Lepisosteus oculatus: one gene and its partners. The protein of the gene in region 2 purifies or fractionates together with the protein of the main gene of each other region. This does not show direct contact. Links are inferred from orthologs where the notes say so. Each region holds a gene or a part of one and is shown on either strand. Other genes may lie near its edges. The genes, in order: plekha2, si:dkey-92j12.5 and amot.

What was found.
Region 1: the proteins of si:dkey-92j12.5 (region 2) and plekha2 purify together in Homo sapiens (affinity purification with western blotting; 3 studies listed by BioGRID and IntAct, with this or other methods). This does not show direct contact. The link is inferred for Lepisosteus oculatus from reciprocal best matches to the Homo sapiens genes MPDZ and PLEKHA2.
Region 3: the proteins of si:dkey-92j12.5 (region 2) and amot purify together in Homo sapiens (affinity purification with mass spectrometry; 4 studies listed by BioGRID and IntAct, with this or other methods). This does not show direct contact. The link is inferred for Lepisosteus oculatus from reciprocal best matches to the Homo sapiens genes MPDZ and AMOT.

Annotation. Positions count from the first base shown.
Region 1 is NC_090697.1:71,439,653-71,446,863, forward strand, and holds the start of plekha2 (pleckstrin homology domain-containing family A member 2), read right to left. Parts: upstream 3,092-7,211; 5' UTR 3,072-3,091; intron 2,143-3,071; exon of another isoform or gene 2,066-2,142; intron 950-2,065; exon of another isoform or gene 591-949; intron 1-590. UniProt on the Homo sapiens protein: Binds specifically to phosphatidylinositol 3,4-diphosphate (PtdIns3,4P2), but not to other phosphoinositides. May recruit other proteins to the plasma membrane.
Region 2 is NC_090696.1:70,226,999-70,234,024, reverse strand, and holds the start of si:dkey-92j12.5 (multiple PDZ domain protein), read right to left. Parts: upstream 3,027-7,026; 5' UTR 2,800-3,026; intron 1-2,799. UniProt on the Homo sapiens protein: Member of the NMDAR signaling complex that may play a role in control of AMPAR potentiation and synaptic plasticity in excitatory synapses. Promotes clustering of HT2RC at the cell surface.
Region 3 is NC_090703.1:34,849,509-34,857,222, reverse strand, and holds the start of amot (angiomotin), read right to left. Parts: upstream 3,033-7,714; 5' UTR 2,941-3,032; intron 2,115-2,940; 5' UTR 2,072-2,114; coding exon 1,984-2,071; intron 1-1,983. Other genes in the region: pgk1 (phosphoglycerate kinase 1), read right to left, coding at 4,794-4,834, 5,357-5,455, 6,953-7,130.

The DNA of each region.
Region 1 (7,211 bases), on a different chromosome or scaffold from region 2:
CGCATGGAAAATCATTTTTATTTTGGAACATAATTTCATAACATTTCATTTAGATAGGCAAAAAATCGTATTATCTTTCGGATAACACTACTAATTGATTCATTTCAGAATGAATGAACGTTCAACAATACAATACGTTCACTTCCAGTTTTGTGTTCGAATATGCATGAAGAAAAACACACGTTTTGTTTTGTTAACGCTGCAATACTAATCACATACAGTACGTTTGGAAATGCGAGTAATTATTCGTAGTAAAATACTAATCGTTGGAAATAAAATGACGTGTTCTTCCCGGAAATGTATGTAGTATTTGAAAGGTACTTTGAACGATGTCTCCTTAGCTATACAGAACAGTGCAATTTTATTTGCAGACTTTAGTTGTGCACATTACAACAGCTGACATCGTGAACGCAAACTTTATAATTCGATATCCTAAAAACTTATGGAGAGCTTCAATTTTAGCGGCGAAATTACCATGCCTGCAAATGAACGGACAGGTTGCAAGCAGTCACCTAACTGTACATAAGCACTTTGACCTGCCACACCTTTGTCATCAGAAGAGCTGTGTTAAAAGAAACCATACCACTTACCCAACTGCGATATGGGGAAAAGTTTCTGAAGTGCAAAATTCACTTACTTCCACTGATTATAAAGAAAAACTAAACAAGTTACCATTCCGTATTTGTTGACCAAACAAAGCCTTGATGTTTTTATTTCACATTTTGTGAACGTGTATGAGAGGCAAAACGCGCAAGGTCTCGTTTTTTCCGGGTAATAGCGATACAGATTAGAATAAACCAACCCCGGATATGATCTAGTCTTTTTTTTAAAAGGGGAACTTTAAAGATTGATCTGCATTCTGTTGTCCGTCTCTGAAAACAACAACAAAAAAATCTCCAAAGAGTGTGCAGACGGACCTAAAACTGAGACCGACCAAAGGCAAGAAGTTAAATGCCTTTGTAAAACTGAGAGAACAGGTTGACAGCAAGTGGTTGGTTGCCTGTCTGTTACACTCAGCGGTCCCAGCTGTGCCCAGTTTGGCTAAATAAGAATTCGCTTTTGAAAATACATAGTCCGGTTTCAAACGGTTTCATGATAGCCGTGGATTTGATACGGTATTGTAAATGACATTCAGCGATCACAGTGTTATTTTTCTTTTGCAGTCCTTCATGTGCATCTTCCATTTTGTTGTATTTCTTTATAAAATGCAAAAAACGTATAATTATGTCCTCTTTCTTCTCCGATTACTGAATATGCATACATGTACGTAGAAATGTATATTACTTTAACTTACATCCTCCAAAAAACAGTTTATTACAGAAAAAGTGATAAAACAGCAACGTGCTTTCCAAGTTGTTGTTTTTTTTCTTAAAGGCAGATGTTTTGACAAAACCTTGCAGTTTTGGGGTATGTTAAACATATAACTGCCTTGTAGCCCGCAGCACACCGTAATGTTTCGACATTTTGTATTTATTTTGGATGTCAAGAATTAATTTATTTTCCCCTTAATGTCTTTTCACTCTGTTCAAGAAGAAAGAGAAAAGCTAGGAAAAAATGGTGGCACTTTCATTTTACAGGCGATTACAATATGTAGTATTCATACTGTAGTGTAAATCATAACAACCAAAACGGATTTTCTGAGAAGTTAATCACCATGTTCTCAGTAAAACGTTACTTCAATTCAATAACAAGACCAACATGGAAAATTAAAAAAACGATGGTTTTCTCTTTAAATTTTCTTATATCTTATTTCTAAATTCAATTACAAATAAGCTATTTATCACAGCGGTTGCTTTAACTTGCTAGTTAACTCTTTCTAAATCGTAATATACTTTACTTCACACAGATCTACACACTAGCATAAAGTAACACGTGTAAATTCAATTACTGAGAAGGTTGCAAAACAGAACAATCAGAAACAGAAGTAAAGAGAGACCTAAAACGTAACATGTTTGGTAGTATCTTTGTAATAAATTCAGAACAGAAATTGTGTATGTACAGTAGGTTTTCTCTGCTTATTCGTAATAGAAGACGGAAAAAGGTATACGGTGTAATACCTTCCTACCTGTAGCGTATCTTTTAAAACATATTTTTCTAGTACAATCGATACTGTTCCTCTGTTCTGCCACAAAACGCTAGATTACGTATTGTACACCTACTATTTTGAAAGTGGTAACAAGCTGTTTGCAAAGCGTGCCCTTTTCTAGCACTGTTCAATTCATGTCGTGCACAGTACCGTATGCACAGTTAAAATCTCTCTTAGGACTGTGGATGCACCTACTGTACAATGTAGTGAGTGTCTACAGCCGTGCAGGGCAAAGAGTGACTTGTAACAAAGCCCATTAGCGAAATTCCTCTTTTTTCTTTCCCGACGGAGCCAACATGACTGCTAAACGAAGCAGAAACAACAGAGAATGTCGCAGAGCACCTTAAACAGGACAGGCAACTAAAACACAGGGAGGTACATGTGTCATAACTTACTCCTTGAAGGCTTTTGCAGACTTTGGTAGCTGAGGTATTCTCAGTCTAGCACATACCGTATTAGTTTGTACTTTGGTGACCCTTTTCTGATGGGTGGGATTGAAATACCTGGTAACTAGGGCTGCATTGTTCAGGGTTTTACAGAATCGTAGCACATAGAAATTTCAAAATGCTGAAGGGAGTTGTTACCTTTAATACTTGGTTTAGGTGGAACACAGGTTTGCACTATACCTTAAAATTGGTTAGAAGCAAATTTAGGGAACAGCACATCTACTGTATATACAAAGAGGAGTGAGTGGGATTAAATGTACAGTAAGACAAGGCTGCAGATGTTGAATGTCTAATATGCTAAATATAATAATGAGTACTACATTTAAAAAAAACTAGCTGGCGTGAGTGAACGCAGTCTGTGCAGGCATGTACTGTATTTCAGGGTTTCTGGGTAGTCCAGGGGCAGGGCAGTTAGTACAGCTGCTTCACACCTCCAGGGTCAGGTTCAGTTCCTGTTGTGGGTGTCAGTCTGTGTAGAGTTTGCAAAAGTCTTCCTGCACTCACTTGACATTTCTCCAGGTGCTCTGGTTTCCTCTTACCTCCCAAAGAAATGGTGACTAGGTCTGATTGAATCTTCCAAATTGTGCCTTTTCTGTGGCCCTGCAATGGACTGGCATCCCATCCAGGGAAAGAATAGTTGTCTGTACTCAGTCTCCTAGGAGTGCTCCAACCTTCATCAGTACAAGCAACTTTCTGACATGAGATAGAGCGATGTTAGGTTTTCATCTAGAGGAATGGATAGAATGGGAGGTTTAGAGTTGGGTTTTTTAGAGAAATGTGCAAGTATAGTACTCCTGGGTCTGCAGATTCATCAGGAGGTGTTCTGACAAATCAAGAATGTGCTCAAAGCCTCCTCTTTTCATAATGTAAAAGAAAATGTTATTATCATATAGAGCATTTCACAGTGTCTACAAACCCAGTGATTATCCCCAAATAAGAAACAGAAGTATTGCAGAATTTCACTCCAAAGACATTGCGACTTCAGAGTTTCACTGATAGCTATCAGTTTCTTTTTCTAACCAGGGTCCATATGCATGTTTGGCAAAGAAAATGTACAAATAAATAGGGCACTGGGGATGGTAGCCCATCTAGCATAGGTTTCATTTGTAAAGAAGGATCATGAACAATCATCCTTTACAAACCACTTCTGACAACACAATGTGCGTATTCATTAGGAACCACACCCTGACAGCTTGCTGATTTATTGACCAGCCACTTAAAATAATGCAATAGCAGAGTAGGAAAGGCATGACTGCTTTCTTCCACCCCTTTCCGAAAGTTTTATGACTGGCAATGCTGCTGTGAGAACTGGGCTAAGGATAAATCACATGACTCTTTCAATGTTGAAAGATGTTTCTTAAAAAGGGCTCCTGTTTACAATTTTATTCATTTATTTCCTTTAAAAGAACTTCTTTTTGCAAGAGCCGCTCAGCTGAAGCATCAGCTTTTTCGATGATGCTCAGAAGGAACTGTTCATCATAAGAGCTGGAGGTCTCACATGTTAATCAGATGTTTGCTCCCCATGCCAACAGAAGGAAATGCCATGGTCACTAAGTCATTCTCTGCATCTTAAAGGTACCACATTATATATCCAGAATATGTTAACCACATATGTGTTACATATATTTAGGGTTATATCCCATTATGTGTATCGTGTTTTATTTTCTGCACTTTGCATCTGTTGGAGATTTTAAAACTCAGATACATTGCAGAATCTGTGAATAATGCCAAATGTGATGACACTATTTCTGGACACACTCCACACAAACCTCTAAGGCACTTCAAATATTTCGAATATTACGTGTCCTATATTGGCTATCATGTTTCACATATATGCTCGATCGTTATTACTATCTCCCATCTTATGTCTCTTTTGTATCATTTTAATTCTTCTGGTTCTAGCTGTGTCTTTGATAATCACTGAATTGGAATGTTCCTGAGAACCAAAAAGCCACTTTATAAAGAAAACATAACTGAGAAATGTGACGAAACAAGATGAGAGTACTTCCGATCTTTCCATGGCGACCCTTAAAGAATAAAAACTATGCCACTAATCCCAGTACCTTTTCATACTGTATGTGATTGGGTAGATTTAAGCGACCTTTAAATTAAAACGTAGTAGTGTACTCTGTCCTCCGCATAACTCATCGCTTGTATTATAAAAGGTCTGTAACCCTTACAACCTGGTTAAAATTATTATAGTTGTATTGTGATAATATATATATAAATATTTTTTTATCTCGAAAATGTTTCACCTGTTGCAGATTACACTTCCTGTGGGTTTTTTCAGAGATAGTAAAGAAAAAAAAATTGCGCAGTTTCCACTCCTCGTGCGCTGTCCGCTAATTCCGCCACCCACTCACTTCTCCACAATACCATCACATCAGAAAGAAAGAAGACATCTCCGTTCCACGGTGCCTCAGAATTAAAAGTGCAGAACTGGATGCATTGCCCTATTCTTTGAAGAAATGCGAAAACTAGAGAGAACAATATTTCCGAAAGGAAAAAATGAAAGAAAATTGCTTTTTTTTTGCTCAGGAAAAACCATTATTAAATAAGATTATCTTGTCAAGTAGAGAAACACCGCACTTCCTTGTATCAAACCTAAAACTAAAACATTTAAGAACTGGATACTACTTTATTGACCAAGGTTACAAGAGAACTGTTAAGATGACAGGAGTTCTCGACATTTTGCACCTATTCTGACTGCCTTATACGCTACATTTGCAATGCACACAATTTGCTGAGGATTCGTGAATATTACCTGGGGAAGGTTATTGGAGTTGCACGGCCCTGGTTGCAATTGGTCTGCAACAGTGTTTGTGCAACAATTAAACCTTACTCCCTTAGCACTTCCTGATGATGCGTCTGCGTCGAATCATCTTATACTGTAACTCATCTGGCTGCAGAGAGGGTAGAGATGAAACACGCGAACAGGACCTACAGTATATGAAACCACGGAGAATCTGAAGCAATAAGAAAGACATTTAGCATCAGGAAAGCACAGAAGACATATGACCTCGCCTGTATGATGTCATTTTATCGTTGTTTCCCCCCCCCCAAAATAGTCTGAAATTGTTTAAATTTGCCATTTTTGATATTAATACAAAATTTTGACATCTTTACAAAAAACATTCGGGTTTAAATATGATGGGACATCTCAAATGAGGACATTAGATTTATTCAAAACTTTAAGAGGTCATCATGCAGTTATTTTAATTTCTCTATATATATTTTTCTAGAAAGTGAGAAGAATTATCTAATCTTTTTTAAAAGACAGACTGTTTACAAAGCAGCGCTATTTAAAACGAGTTTAGTATATATGAAATTGAAAGACCCGAAAGTGACTACGTGTATCTAGCAAAATGTAACATCTGGAAAACGAATAATACGTAAAATAAAGCGCCTGTTCATTGCGGCTTCCCAGAAGGAGATAACGTGGACAGTCTCGAGTGTATGCTCATTTTGTATGCATCAGTTTGACCTCAAAAGGAAGTCATGTTTTACGGTGTGTATAGTTAAACTGGAATTACAGCGACTTCGTTCAGAACGCTGCAAGCACAATCTAACCACTGCACATATTATGAAATGTGTTAAACTGCTTTGCTTCGAAAGAGAGAGCACGGGCTTCTGAATACAGAATTATTCGTATTTCTTTGTAAATCAATGCTACAGTACTTGCCCACAGAAAGTTATAAATGGAATTATGTAGAAAAGCGAGCTTGTTATATATATTAACTTTTTCTTGTAGTCGTTTTTAGGTGAGAATCTGATTGTATCTTCTGTTTAATTTATATTCCATTGCTTGGAAAGATAAAGGATTTTAATGACTTTCCAACAACCTCCTACAGTAATGTGAGAGGCAGCAGAGCATTAAAGGACTCGGTGGACACACATATGCTTCAGATTTATGGTGGAGCAAAAAAAACTTAACAACTGCTTAAGCAAAATGTGGAAAATGTCCCCTTCTGTCTTCAGTGTAAAGTTCTTAGAAGTGAATTCAGGATATTCTCAACACTTCCTTGCTTTTGAGGTTTAATCATTTCTCTTTTCTTTTTTCTGTCAGTATTTTTTCATCCCCTTGCTCCCAGATTTTCTCTTCACTGAATGCGCCATAAAATGAAGGTGAAGTTGTGCTCTTAATTTTGTATACAGAATGTCAAAGTCATTTGACAAATGAGGCGAGTCCATCTCTTATTAACCATACGGCACAGTTTATTAGATTCTAAAAAGCGTCCATCGCAGGAAACATTTCAGACAAAAGCTGTCTTCCCAAAATACGAAGGTTAAGAAAAAAATAAGCTGAAACTTTATTTTTTGTGTTTGGGAAGAATCGCTGACCTTTAATTGCATTTTATTTGCATCCACATATTTCAAATTTCTTTCCTTTCTCCCTCTTTTCTCTTTACAGTCCTACATGTTGGTTTGTGAGGTCACTTTAAATTCACTTTATCTTTTACAAGATGCAAAGAGTACTGACAGCCTTCATCCACTACACCGAATAGACTGCTGAACTGCAATTCGGTAGTTAAAATTCCACAAATGGGAATGTTAAATGGGGAAATTGGCAGTATTTTCCATGTTTTACATGAGTGCAGCAAAAAGCCAGGAAGACACCTGCCAATTATTATAGCACTAGCAATAGGGCAGCAATGAGGCTGAAACTTCACAGGTCTTCT
Region 2 (7,026 bases):
TAAACTTTTTGTATGGGAGGACAGTTATGCTGTTGCTTATGCTGCTGTTATGTCTGGAATTTTCAAGCACACTACAACTCAAACATACATAATAATTGGTACGTTCTTAACATTTCATAGTTTCTCCTATCAGAAATAAACATTGCGATTAAGATAAAAACGGTCATTTCTGGGTCACAGACAGCACTAGATATCTGCACCAGTCTGATCATCTCTTGGATCCACAGGTGGATTTCATTCAAAGGTAAAGCTGCTTAAAAACAATGTACTGTACTGTAGTGGTACACTGGGGGAGCAACAAACTAGATAAACAAGTATAATGTGCCAAAGCTTTAACACTAAGAATTAAAAGCACAAATCTAGATGTGTATAGTGCTACAAAGCATGCTACTTCTGTCTGCACATGTATAAAATGTGAACAATATCTCCATGAACAGACATGTAATATTGATTTTACTTTCATAGAATGTAAAAATCGTAGTGATTCTGGTACAAAGCATAGCATAGTTTAAAACTAAGCATCACAAATACTAAAATTACTAAAGCATGTGTGAAAATACTGTTAATTGCACTATATATAACACTACTAAACAAAGATGCTGTCACTTAATACTCTTACAGCAGGATTAGCATCTGTAAATTGCCTTAAATTGAACTACATAAAGTGACCTTGGCATATGGCTTTAGGATACGTCTCTAGTGTGCTTTTCCAAGTGCTGTAAAGTCAATTAAAATTTAAATATTTTTTTTAAAATAAAGTAATTTTAAAATACTTATCTACAAGGAATTAACCTCTTTGTAAACTCAAATACATTTCAGCACTTTACACACTTATTTAAAAACTTTAATCTTCAAGTATTTAGTGAGTAGTCCACAAAGTCATGATCAAACCAATAATATAATTTAAAAAAAGACTTCTTAAGGTCTGTTCTTTTTAGTCATATATACAATATAAGTGAATATCAGTAGCACTTTGCTAAATTCATACATTTGATGATAGTTTATTGTTAGAGAGAAAAATATAAGTGAAAAATATACTAAAATGAAAAATACCTAAATAATGTAATAAATGTAGAACAAGAATACCCAAATAATAAGGCCTTTTTGATATCCTAAATAACAAATTACAAATTCTGTTTAAACATTTGTATCAGACTTATTAAGCATTAAACCATGAATTCACTGCCCCTGTTATTATTTTCTTGATAGTACTTCTGTTACTTCTGTATCTCCTGAAACTACAAGCAAATAGTCAGACGTGACTTCAAATGTGGGGATTTTTCTACTTTCTTTTTACTTTCCACCATGGAAAAATAATTAAATATAAAATAGATACCTTCAAATCAATATGGAACTTATTTGTTTACTATTATTCTGAATATAACTAGTCATACAAACATAATTCAACATTGTAAAAAGTTCATTTTATCCAAAATAGAAATGCATGCCTCTCAAATTAAAAGACAAATAATCTGATCTATTTAGCATACTCAGAAAAGCGTATATACTGTGGTTTTTTTTTTGTCATTTAAAAATCGACTAGCTGTAGGTCTACTTCCACAGACTGCAATAAAAAAACGTTCTTCTCACAGAAGCTCTAAGGAAACAGTTGTCATTTTTAGGAGTCATTCTTAGACATGCTGTACAACATGTTACACAAACACATATTATTTACAGAATTCGAAGTAAAAAACAAATAATCTCACTACATCCAGATTCTTGCCCAACATACAATTGTATACAGCTAGTTTCATTTTCAAACATTTCATATTTAAAATGTTCCAGAATTAACGTTTTAACGTGTTTTTCAAGAAGTAAATCGTTCAATTTTCTGGACTGAGTGGGCGATTCAAGGTTTAAACTTGAGAAAGTTTTTGTTGTGTTTCTTGTTATTTGTTCGCAACCCGAGGAAGTCGTTTATTTTGTGGAAACAGAGTTGGATGAATGAAGTTCAGACCAGTTACAAATGTGCTTTGATCGTCTTTTACGATATAAAATGTAGTTCTGGACCATGTCTGTTATAAACTGCCTTAAAACGCCCAGGGACTTGGATAATTACATGAGTTACCAAAACTCAGCGTCAGGACCACATAGGTTTTCTAAATAATTACAGCTTGTGACTGATGTAACCATCAGACTAAAGCTACTGCGTACAGTTAGCCTCTGAAAACTTGCCGTGATTTCAGACAGTAAATCGACAGCGGTTCGGTCTGCATCAGCATTCATGGAGCAAGAAGATAAGGACTGTGATGCAATTAAGATTGTGCCCCTGTACACAGAGTAAAGCGACACAAACTTATCATTACAATGTCTTTGTTTGTTTGTTATTCTCCTTCATGTGCCCCCAACCGACCCTTCCAGCAGGATACTGTATCATTGTGTGCCTCTGGAGCGGAATGCAATTTGCTTTTCTCAGCACCCGCCTCCCCTTCCCCCTCCCACTCCTGGCTGAAGCAACAGGGCTTTCCAACGCAGTTCATTCACATAGGATGAAATCCGCATTTTTAAGAGCAAATGGCTCCTCCACGAACGAAACGTCCGGATAATACCCGCAGTATTACAGTAAACTTCAATGCATGTTTTAAAACAAAAAAAATAATCCGAGCGGTCCCAGAACAATGCCCCAGAATAAACATCGTCAGTGCCCGTCTAATTCCACATTGGTGCCAACAAATCCAGTTTTTTTTACAACGGAAAAACAGTACAGCGTCGAAAATCGACTTTCACTTTTGTAGTTTATTCATGTACAAACTATTAAATTAAAGTGCTGGTTTAAAAATGAAGAAAAAGAACACTTACACGAACGCGGACTGGTCTGCGGTGCCTCGGTAATGCTAGACGCTTCCTATCCTAGCGTGTTGTCCTGAGTCTTCCTCCTGTAGCTAACGGCGCATAGAGCGGCTTAGGGATGGGGTGTAGTGTAACTCGATCCTCCACAGACATTTTCAGCAATAGCGGCACCGAGAGTTGAAACAAGCTACAGCTCTAACAGGCCACTGTATCCCCGACTAGAATTAAGAAGGTCAGAGGCGTTGCTTGCGTGAAACCATGACAACAGAGTTGGGAGATCATTCAAGAGGTTGCTCAGAAAAGCCCAATCAACCTCTTTTAACCCATACAAACGTGCGCAATACCCAGGATCACACAAATACTACAGGTCGAAAGTGTGAAAGCAGAATTGCGGCGCAGAAAAACATAGTTTGAGGGCAATGTTATTCGTTATTTTTTTTTCCACCTAACCCCATGGTTTCTATGCATCAATGTGCGGATAACTATCTCGTACAAAAATATACTACATTGATATGGAAGTTGATTCATATTTTTAATAAAGCGGGACTACGTATGATGAAAAGAATAACTTTAGCAACAATATACATCAATTATTATTTCGACACCTTTATAAGGGCATAATTAACCTTCAAATTCTGCAACTAAAATAGAGAGCATCTAAGGTAATGTTACTAACACTGCAGATTTACATTCTACACAATACATTATTTTAAGAGATTATAAATGAGAACCAGGTGCAAGAATTAATGAAATATACCACTGAAACGATCTGTTCTGTTTCACCCTTATAAAATGACAGAACTAACAAATGAAGCATTTTCTTGGCAGTACTATTGAAGCTGACAAATTAAATGATCTAATGAACCAGAACTTCACTGGATTTTTCCTTTTAGTTAATTTTTTAATTAAGTCTACCACCCTGATTAAAGGTGGATATGAAAGCTGCAATAGTAACAGTAGTTTTTTTCCACAAATATGGCTTTGTATTACTGTACAGTACATGCTTTTGGTATTTGAGTAAAGGAATATTAATTGTGTTGATTTGTTTTCAATAGTTACATCAAGACAAATTAAATTAGTTTTTGTTATCACCTGAAGCGTGCAAGTTTTGCATTGTGCTCACCATTTCTACGTATCATAAATACCCAGATTCCTTTATATAAACTATGTATTAAGATGCAATGTTATGCAAGGAAATTCTGTTACTGGCTTCCTCATACTTAAAAAGTACCACATGTTATGTCAATATTTGACAAGTGTTTCTCAATCTTTTTATTGTAATTCTTGTAGGTGCAGTTGCTTTTCCAATGGTGGTTAAGAAACATCCATAACAACACAAAAGACCCTTAGACCCATAGGATATTAAATGTGGTGTTAATTTCTCTATCCAGTGCCACATAATGACTGTGATGCATTACACAGATGAAATTGATGCTCTCTTATACACAAATCTTTTTGATATCCTTTTGGATGAAATTTATAGAAATGTGAGGAATTATCATTATTGTTGTTATCATCAATCAACCTATCCATCTATTTTCTAACCACTTTATTCCACACAGGGTTGCAGGGGAGCCAGAGCCTATCCCAGCAAGCAACAGGTGCAAGGCAAGATACACACTGGATGAAACCCACATCTACCACAGCGCACAAAAATAATATTAACACTTTTCCCTTTCCCCCCAAAAAAGGAAGGTCTTGTATTACAGTAGATGCATACCCCTTATTTTTCTAAGTGTTTCCTGGCAATATTTGACTAGTTGCTTTATGAATTGGGATAGTTCATGTGGCGGTACTGACGCACTTATCAATGTATAGCCTGTAGAGGTCAAGGACAAAGCCAGTGTAGGAAGAGAAGAAACATTCTTCTACGCAGCCGACAAAAACATTAGCATAGCTAGGTCACATTCTGGGCCCTGAAACTGGAAATCATTAAAAAGTTGGAGCGCATGGTTGGTGTCCTTGATATATGAAGGAAACCCTTCAACCAGTGGTCTCATGAGGCTGTTGAGAAAGGCTGTGATGTGAGTAGTTGGACAGTTGCATGCTGAGATGATGGGACGTCCAGGGGTGTCGGGTTTGTGGATTTTAGGGGAGGAGGTAAAATTTGGATACCTGGGGATTTTCAACAATGAGATGGTTTACCTCCTGGGGGAGTTCCTTGCTATTCCTGAACCATTTCCATTTCTCTTGTCATCAAATTTGAGCAATGGATACTGACATACAGTAAGGTAGGTAGGGTAGGTCCCTTTTCAGGCCATAAAGAGCAATGGGGAATGGGGGACAAGGGCCACCATTTTTCTACAATCATCTGACACTGAAGTTGGAGGTGATGTGGTCAGCGTCACGTTCTGGTCAGCCTATTACCCCCGGAAGGATTTACCCCCAGTACTCATTTGGAAAGCAGGCTGAGCGGACCTGGGAGCTGTCTGGAAGGAAATAAAGCAAGCTACATCGCTTGCCCCTACCTGGGATTGAACCCTGAACCTTCCAGTCAGGAGCGAGATGCCCTTGTGCCTGAGATACCACAGCTCCAATGACTTAAGGTACTGAAGTTTTAAAAAAGGTCTTCTGTAAAACTTTAGACCTACAGTATATAAACAAAATCATATAAAAAAAACATTGAGCTAATAACATGTGATTTCTTGAGAACACCAGGAACTCAACTTTGAGCACTTGAACTGATAAATGAAGGTAAGAATCTGTATAACCACATTCAATTCTGGACCTGGGGTGCTGTCTGTGTGTAGTTTGTATGTCCTCCCCATGTATGTGTGGGTTTTCTCTAGGTTTCCTCTTCCTCTTCCAAAAAAACATCCTGGTGTGTTAATTGCCTTCTGGGAAAATTGACCTTGAATGTGTGTATCTGCCCTGCCATGGACTGGTGTCCCATCCAGGGTGTACCCTGGTTTGTGCCCATTGTTTGCTGGGAATGCAAGCTGCAGAATAATGATCCTAAGCATTTTGCAATGTCTACAAAAGAATTTGTATAACAAATGAAGGTTACAGGATTGACCTTTTCATTGTGAAAACAGCTGCTGTTGCACAGATGAAACACAAGTTGATCATGGAACTCAAATATATAACTGAGAAGATGCCAGGAAATGGTTCCAAAATACATAAAAGAAATTAAAACATGAAGGAAACACAGAATGGGCACTCATAATACTAAAGGCCTGGTGCCCAAACACTTTTGTCAAAGTATGACATTAATTATGGCATATCATTTTTTTTATAAATTTTATTTAAATATATGTATATATATTTATTTTAATGCTGAATATCTTCTTTATTTTTTAATTTCTCAAGGCATCTTAATCTCTTTTGAAGTTCTGCATCACAGTCTCTTCTGGCAAAATTATAGAAAAAAAACATTCTTCTGGAATTCAGAAGTTACTGTTACTGACGTGTTAACTGCTTGCATACTTCACGAAACTACAATCACTTATCAATATTACATAGTAGTAGTCATGGCACCAGGCCAGGATATGTGGGACACAGATACACTAGGACTATGCAGGTCCTATGAGTACTAGTGTGAACAACAGGGTGTAAGGAGTGCTTCTTCATGGAAATAAAGGATTTGTCTCACCTGGTGTTTTGCTATCTGGTTCCCTCTTGAAAGCATTCATGTCATTTTTCTCCACCCAGGTGGTCTATAAAAAGCAATGATTGAAAGTTCAGGTTTATTGGAGTACTAGAAGTGGAGCATTAGGGTTATTTTCTCTCAGGCTTATTCACTGTGTCTGGAGGTAGGGAGTTTATCCTTCCTTGCCTAATAACCTCCCATGAACCCACATGACAGTAACATCATTACAGTATTATGCTGAATTGCTGCCTGACTGCATAAAGCCAACCACAAAATACAGTGGGGAATGCTGATGTCAGGAAAATAGTTTTTTTTTAATGGTAATACCAATGTTATCTAAAAAGTTGTTATTTAGTATTAATCTTGACATTTTGAATAGGTTTATACACATATTTCTTTATTACGAAACTGTGATGTTCTGACTTACACATTTGTTGATAGACGAATGTATCAATGATCAGGTACACAGTATTTACTACTAATTGGTATTTTTTCAATTTGAAAGGAAATTAACTTTATATTAATGTAAAGGGTGGTTTTAATTAACAAACTGGTATGAAACAACACTGCGTTATCTGGATAGAAAAAATGTGAAATAATAGTGGTTCTGGTGCCTCATCATTTTTGTTTGTGTTCCTCTCTTCCAA
Region 3 (7,714 bases), on a different chromosome or scaffold from region 2:
TACACTTTTTATCCGAGGTGACATGCTTCCAAACATGTAATTCTGGGTTGTTTATGAATGTACCTTAGGTCTCAGACCTTTGTTTGGGATGTTGAGCTGTGTGACAAGGAACCCTAAAATATGAAATTAAAAAATATCTGGCTAACATTAACTCAATAATAGGTTTTCATCATCTACGCTCCAGTGCCAAGAATCCCTTCAGATTCTTTCACATATTGAAACCTTAGATGTTACTACACCTTGATCTAAGTCCTAATTATGAACATAATCTGATGAAACAAATGACACAAAACATGATATCCTATTAACATTTATCTTCAAACAATGCAACATTCAATAGCCATGTGTGACAAAGAATGTGAACCTTTATATTCAGTGAACTGGTAGCACAGCCTTGAGCAGCAATGACAGGAGCTCAACATTTCCTGTAACAGCTGATCAGTCTGTCACATTTGTAGTGAGGAATTGTGGATCACCGTCTTGCTGCAAGACTTACATTTGGCTCAACTTCAGATCACAGATTGATGGCCTGATGTTCTGTTCTAGACTCTTCTGATACAATGCAGAATTCATGGTTGTGTTGGTCATCCAGATCCTGAGGCAGCAAAGCAACCCAAAACCATCAAGCTCCCACCAACATGGTTGACAGGTGGGATGAGGTTCTGTTTTTAAAAGCAGTGTTTGATTTATGCCAAACATAATGTTCCTAATTGAGGCCAAAGAGTTCTATCTACCGTGCCTGTCAAGAGAACATTTATCCAGCAGCTTTGTGGATAATCTATGTGCTCTTTGGCAAACTTTAAACAGGCAGCAATGTTACTTTTGGAGAACATTTTTCTCCTTGCTATCCTTCCATGAATACCATTCAAACCAAAGTTGTCTGATAGTTATGAATAGTCACATTAGTGAAGGCAAGAGTGGCATGCAGTTCTTTGGATGTTATGCTAGGGTTCTTCCTCGATGATTCTCCAGTTTATTCTTGGAGAGACACTGGTAGCACAACATCTCCTGGGTAGAGTGACTGTGGTTTTTAACTTTCTTCATTTGTATACTGTCTGAGAGTGAATTGGTGGAGCCCCAAATACTTAGAATTGGTTTTGTTAGTCTTTCCGGTCTGAAGAACATCGATGGCTATTTTTCTGAGGTTCTCTGAGAAATTCTTAGACATGTGGCATGACTTATTTCAAACACATGCATGGTGAAGGCCAAACTCACACCATTTCTGATCTTTATATAGGTTGGGGCCTTACAAACTCAGCCCCCAAGGTCTACCTAATTATTTTAACACCTGATTCTAATTATTACCTTAATTAAGCTAATTAAACTAGGGGTTCACTAACTTTTCCCCAATATCAAATTTTACTCATTGTTCAATTCAAACATCATTTTGTTTTAAGAGACAAGAAATATGTTACTATAATCATTACTGGATACTTGCGGAAAGAGTGTTTTTTATTTAAGAAGGCCATCAGGGTAAGACTATGAAAATACCATTTTTCTTTGAGATTTGATACACTGATTCACTATGTTTTTCTCGACCCTGTATCTGTTGACATTACAGATGAAATCTTGAAGTCTAGTTTGATTTCTCACCTTTAATAAATTACGAGCTGCATACAACTGTAACTACCGCTTCCTTAAGTTAGACAAAATATATTTGTTATTGGATTGGGCAAAATCGTAATAAAACAGAACACATTCTAATAAGTAGTTGAAACATGGATGTACAGAAAATGTATGGACATTCAAATAAATGGGGTCTACTTTAAATTTATACATAATTATGGAGATGATAAAATTTCTTGATGGTTTTTAAGTGAAATAATTTATGTTCATGTTATTAAAACACTAATATATATTTCTTATATTTTAATAAAAGAATTAAACACTAATTGAAAAACTGTTGAACACTCCTTGACAATGTAGATGAGAAGCAATCCATTTTGGACTCTGGTAATCCTGGGGCAAAAGTGCACATCATACCTAAAAAGCTCAGAGCATGTTCAGGGAATCCAATATGATTGATCCAGTTAGCCACATTCTCTGGACTCCATTCTTCCACAACACTCATTGTGTTTTCTTTGACTGTCTCCAGCCCTATCCCCTTCTGTGGCCTGAGGAATAATAATAAAATAATAATCATCATCATCTTTTTTCACTGACTCTTTCCATCAAGTGTTTACAACATAACCATGAGCTTTTGAATGGTCGATCCAACGATACTATGACTGTATCAATCATCCATTTAAATTAAAAGGTTATTGTCTTGACTTGGATTTTTATCCAAGTTAACCGTTGAATTGGTTTAGAAACGGGCGATTCTATATGTTGATGCATTCCTAAACAGTTGTAAATTGTTAATAGACTGAATATTACCCATTACCAGTAAAATATTTCAAATTTGGAATGCCCCATATGTTGGAGAGATCCAAATATATAAAAAATAAGCCACATTTACTTTATCCAGGAAGTGGTACAAAGAAAGCATTTTGTGTAAGTTCCAAAAATATGTTGCAATATAAAAAAGCACTTTTAAATTTCACGGGAAAACTACAATATGATATACACGGCGTACATAGGTTTTGTAATACATTTGCCTTTACAGAAAATCCTTTATATTGAAGTAGACGTATAAGAATCACATTCATTCTTGTGTTTAAACCCCGATGCTGCTTTTTGAAAGAAGGCTGTATTTTAAAATAGGGCGTTTAAAACAGGAAAACACCTGAGACCATTTTGTTGGCTTTGTACATAAGCCACGTACAGTACTGCCAGGCGTACCCGGCAAACTCCATTGCAGATTGCAACGTCCGTGAGTCCGAAGAGCCGGGCCGTGACCCAGGTACGCTTGTTTTTCAAGAAGCAAATCCGTCCAGCTAATACTCTTTTGTATATTAGACGACACAAACGACGAACATGGAATAATTTGCATAAACTCACCTCGCTTCTAGTTCATCTAGATCATGTCCAGATTTAGCTTTACAGCTCTAAAAAGACAATGTAATTTCCCACAGAAACGTTCACCTGGGCAGGTAAAAGGGCGGAGTCAGAGCAAAGCTGGTCAGGAGCATTGTTGGTATTGTAGTCAATGTGTGGTTTACAGAGCTTTCCTGATCATACTATCTGAACGTAGGTCACATTATTTTTAAACACTTTGAAGCATAACATCAAGTTTGGATAAATTATTCCATTCGGATTGTTATTCCAAGAAATCCCATATGTCATCATTGTTCAAGACATAACTTGATAAATTTTAATTACATAGCTAATTCAATACACACTCTTGATAAAATAAGGTATGCATGACCCAGACGAAGATGCTAAGTTCCAAGATATACCCATTGTCATGTGATGTACCAGCCAACGATGTCCACGTTTATCTGTCCCTTCCAAAACTCCTGAACGATAGCATTTTTCGCATAGTGACTAGTTATAGCAGTCAGTTTACACAGTTTAATATTGTGGAGTATCCATGAAACGTATTAGTTTGTGTTCTTCAATACCAGTGCGTTCTTTTCAAAGAAAAATAAGATTACAGAACATAGATTAACTGGAAGAAAAAAAAAATCAAACCCATTTGGTCTTCTAACCATTTCTTTCAAACATGCTTCAACAGAACACAATTTTTAAGGTGCTAATTTATGCACCTTAAAACACTACTATGCAACACTACTGTCATGAGAATGTCATCAATTTTTCATTTGTAAACATGGGTCACCACTGCCGCCAAACAGTAGACCTAGGACACTACATTCTTTCCTAAACTTTCATTTGAGTCATTACAAAGTCTCGCAGTACCTTACAGAATGCTTCAGATAAACATTTAAGGAATTGTCTGGTTCACAAACAGAAATGTGCAGGTCCCAAGCGAGTGATGCGTTACCCAGGCCAACTCAACAAAACCACAGAATTTGCTGCACATGGCCAATTGTGTGCTATTGGCTGTGGAATCATGGCTTCCACCATCTAGACTTGAAATGGTGGCTTCTGTACTGTAGGGTTGGAACTTCTCAGCAGGCATCTTTACTTACCAGTGGATCCAATTCCTAGTTTTCTGGTCTTTTTATTTTTTTTAGGTTAAAGTTTTCATTAAAAACAACATAATCCCAATCAATCACATTTGGAAGCAGGCAAGGAGAAATAGTGAATTCTAGGATTATCTCCACCAACAATGATGAAAGAAAACAAGTGACTTTTTACACTGATCCTTTTTATTTCATCTGCATACTTTGTCCAGACATCTTATCAACCAAAGAACTACAAGCTGTGGCCAAAGAACAAGACAGATGCTCATGGGGTGGCGTTTAGTACAGACTGAACCGTTGATAGAGGCAAAAAGATACAAAATATAAATTCTAGAGTTACACAAACGTTTGGATTTTTTCTCTTCTCCAAGACGCTAACAAGTGAGGCACACATATACACATAAACATGATCACAAATGACCAATTCCAAACCAGCAGCTGCCTCAGGTGAACATCTCCCTTTTGAGAAATGAGGCAAAGTGCAAAGAGGGGTTCTGCGTTGCTTTCAGACTTTTTATTTTTAAAAAGCAGCTTGAGAGTGAACAGCAAAGCTCCCCCCTCCTCAGTTAAGTGCTCTAGAGTGGGTCTTAGCACATTTTCAGGTGTCTTTCAAGTTAAGTTAAAAGCTTTTCTGTAACCCTTGCGCAGTACAGAGGGAGGAATTCATCATTTGTGCTACTGCAGTACTAGATAAGCGTTTCATGGTAAGAGGTTCCCTAGGGCTGTGCACTGAAACTCATGGCTAGGATCTTCCTCTCCCCTGGGCCTTTAGACATTGCTCAGAGCATCCACACCAGGCAGGACTTTACCTATTATAATTAAAAAAAAAAGAGAAAAACAATTTAAAATTATTGTACAGAACATCAGTTATCTTATCCCTCAAAGACACATCTCTTGTTGAAAAAATAAAGCGAAGAAATAATGTACTTCTGTGAAATAAGGACTTTTTTCAAGACAATGACAAAGTACTTTTGGAAATATTCTGCAAGCTGTATGAGATGTCCATTTATAAAATAGGATATTCCTGTTTTATTGGTCCAATGTCAAAAGTATAAAGAAACTTGTTTTTGCTAAAAATAAAATCATAAGGTAGCATGGTGGCACAGTGGTCATCACTGCCACTTCCCCCCTGGGTTCAATTCCTGGGGTGCTATCTGTATGAAGTTTTTATGTTCTCCCTGTGTCTGCATGGGTTTCCTCCAGGTGAAAGTGGAATACTGATCATTGTGAACTGGATACTGGAGGAGCCTATACTATCTGATGTTATGCAGTCATTGGACTATTGCTCAGAATTCAGCTCCCAGAGTTCTCAGCGCCTCAGGTTTTCATACCTTCTAGCAGCTCTAAGCTGGCTCCGCCCCCAGTGCTGACGTGGCTGACCTTGTCCTCGGTGTCCCACTTTGCACAGCAGGTGGCCGTATCACCCCCACCTTGGATAGGAACACAGCAACGTGAGCTGTCCATTATAGCCCCCACACCAGCATGACAATTCACAAAAGGTCCAATCAAATCCCAGCACAATTCAGGCAGCTTTAAAACATTTAAGGTCAATGTGCCACCACTCCTGTGGACAGTTTTAATGTTTTTAGTTCTGTAAATTCTTAAAATACCATTGATCACTAAAATCAAGTTTAAAAGACGGAAAAAACACCTTTTAGGAGTCTTTTCGACTTCACGCCTCTGAGACATCCATTTAAACACAAAAGAGGTCAGATTTTAGATGTGAATTAACTGGTCACATACCTGCCAAAACACTAGATGAACTATTCAGTATTTAGCAATATTTCCTATGGAGGTTAAATTCTAAGCTATAGGTACCCCTTAGCCCCATCTAGTGGTTGAATTGGTTTGCAATTACAAAACATTTTACTTAGATTCACTTTTGAGGCAAAATGGACGTTTCCAGTTGTCTCTGGTAGTGCCAAATGTCCAAATCCTGTTTCAAAAGCTAAATCTCCTTTTGAAGTCAGGAATGTTAGGGGGTGGTTAATTGAACCACATAACCCTCAACAGTCTATATTTAGGTATTTATGTTGATTATTCCAATATCTTCAGTTAATTAAAGAGCTATTTTTCACCACATGTGGAATCCATACCCACTTAGATTCACTGAAATTCCAAACATTTGCCAATTTAATATAGATCTTGTTTGCAAATAAATAAGCAAACAATTGATACTGGAAACTTCCCGATAAGATGTAAATACTTTCAAATAACAGAATGCTAGAGCTTCTACATTTTGCATTTATTTTTTTCTTGAATCTATACAGCCTGGACCTGTAAAACCTCCTCAATCCTCTTCTTTTAACATGGTAGATTCATTAACCCCAACTCACGACCAAGTGAAGGTGCCTATGTGCAAGCTTGTAGCCAATCCAGAATCTTTATTTTCTCAGCCAAGATTAGCACTTTCCTACTTTTATGCTTTCAGCATCACCACAGGCTGATAACTTGCGGACACAACGCAGGAACAATATACTACAAATTGAAACAAAGGAAAGTGCACAGCGAAACACTGTAAAGCATAGGAGAAACAGAGTATGGACCAGGAAGCTGGCAGCAGCACAAAGATGCCCAGGAATACCACAGGATTCCTGAGAAAAATGCAGGATTTTGACACAGGCATGCAGCCTAGTGGAATATATTTCAAGGATTAACCGATGTTATAGCATATACTTCATACAGCACTTTTTGGTTACATTTATTTTGTGCTTTATAGAGAAACTGAATTGGAGGGGGGTTACTGTATCCAGTTAATAAACAATTTGTTATCATTGTTCATCACTTACTAGCCAGGAAATAAAATGTGATTTTCCAGGTTTTCTGGGAATTGTGAGAAGCCACCACAGTTTTGAAAGCAGTTTTCTTTAGAAAACAATATGGAAAATATATCTGGGAAAGAAAGGCTGAAGATGGCCTTTACTTACCGATAATGGTGATGCAGCCCTTCTGAGTGGCCTCTACCACTTTATCCATGAGGTTCTTGGTTCCACTGGCAAATTTGTCCCACTCGAACACTCCTACAGGTCCGTTCCACACGATCTGCTTGGCTCTCCCCACGGCTTCTGCAAACTTCTTTGAGCTCTCTGGGCCACAGTCCAGGCCCTGAAGTACAAAGATAAAATGGATAAGAGCTTGGAAAACAGAACTTGAGAGGTAGAAGCCCTTAATACATCAGACATTAAAGTAGAAAAAAGTTACATAATGAGATCTAACTTGCAGAGAGCTACTGTTTTCTCTTGGTTAAAACATATTTTTCTAAAGACTTGGAACACTTTACAATAAAGCAGGAGATTTAAGTAACCTTCAAACTTAATTTGAAAAAAAAAACACTCATTCGAGAACCTAAATAAATAAATCTAGTAGCTAAGTGTTTAGGAAAAAGTGATTTCAGGGGACATAAAACAACTTATTTGTGGGGAAAAAAGATTCAATCCAGGTAAGAAGTTCAATACATACAACATTAATCAGAAATTTACAACATGCTGCTGAAGCTTTACATAAGTTCTATAAAGCATTCATTGATAATAGTGATGAGACTGGGTTAAGTATAAACAATCTGTACCTGCATGTCTGTTTCTTGTGGTTACAATACTAAAAATTAATGTTACCCTGTGTAAGGGCCCCCTCCAAGCAAATAAAACCATAGTGTTTGTAAATATGCTTTAATGTTTTACAGATCCTCAGTT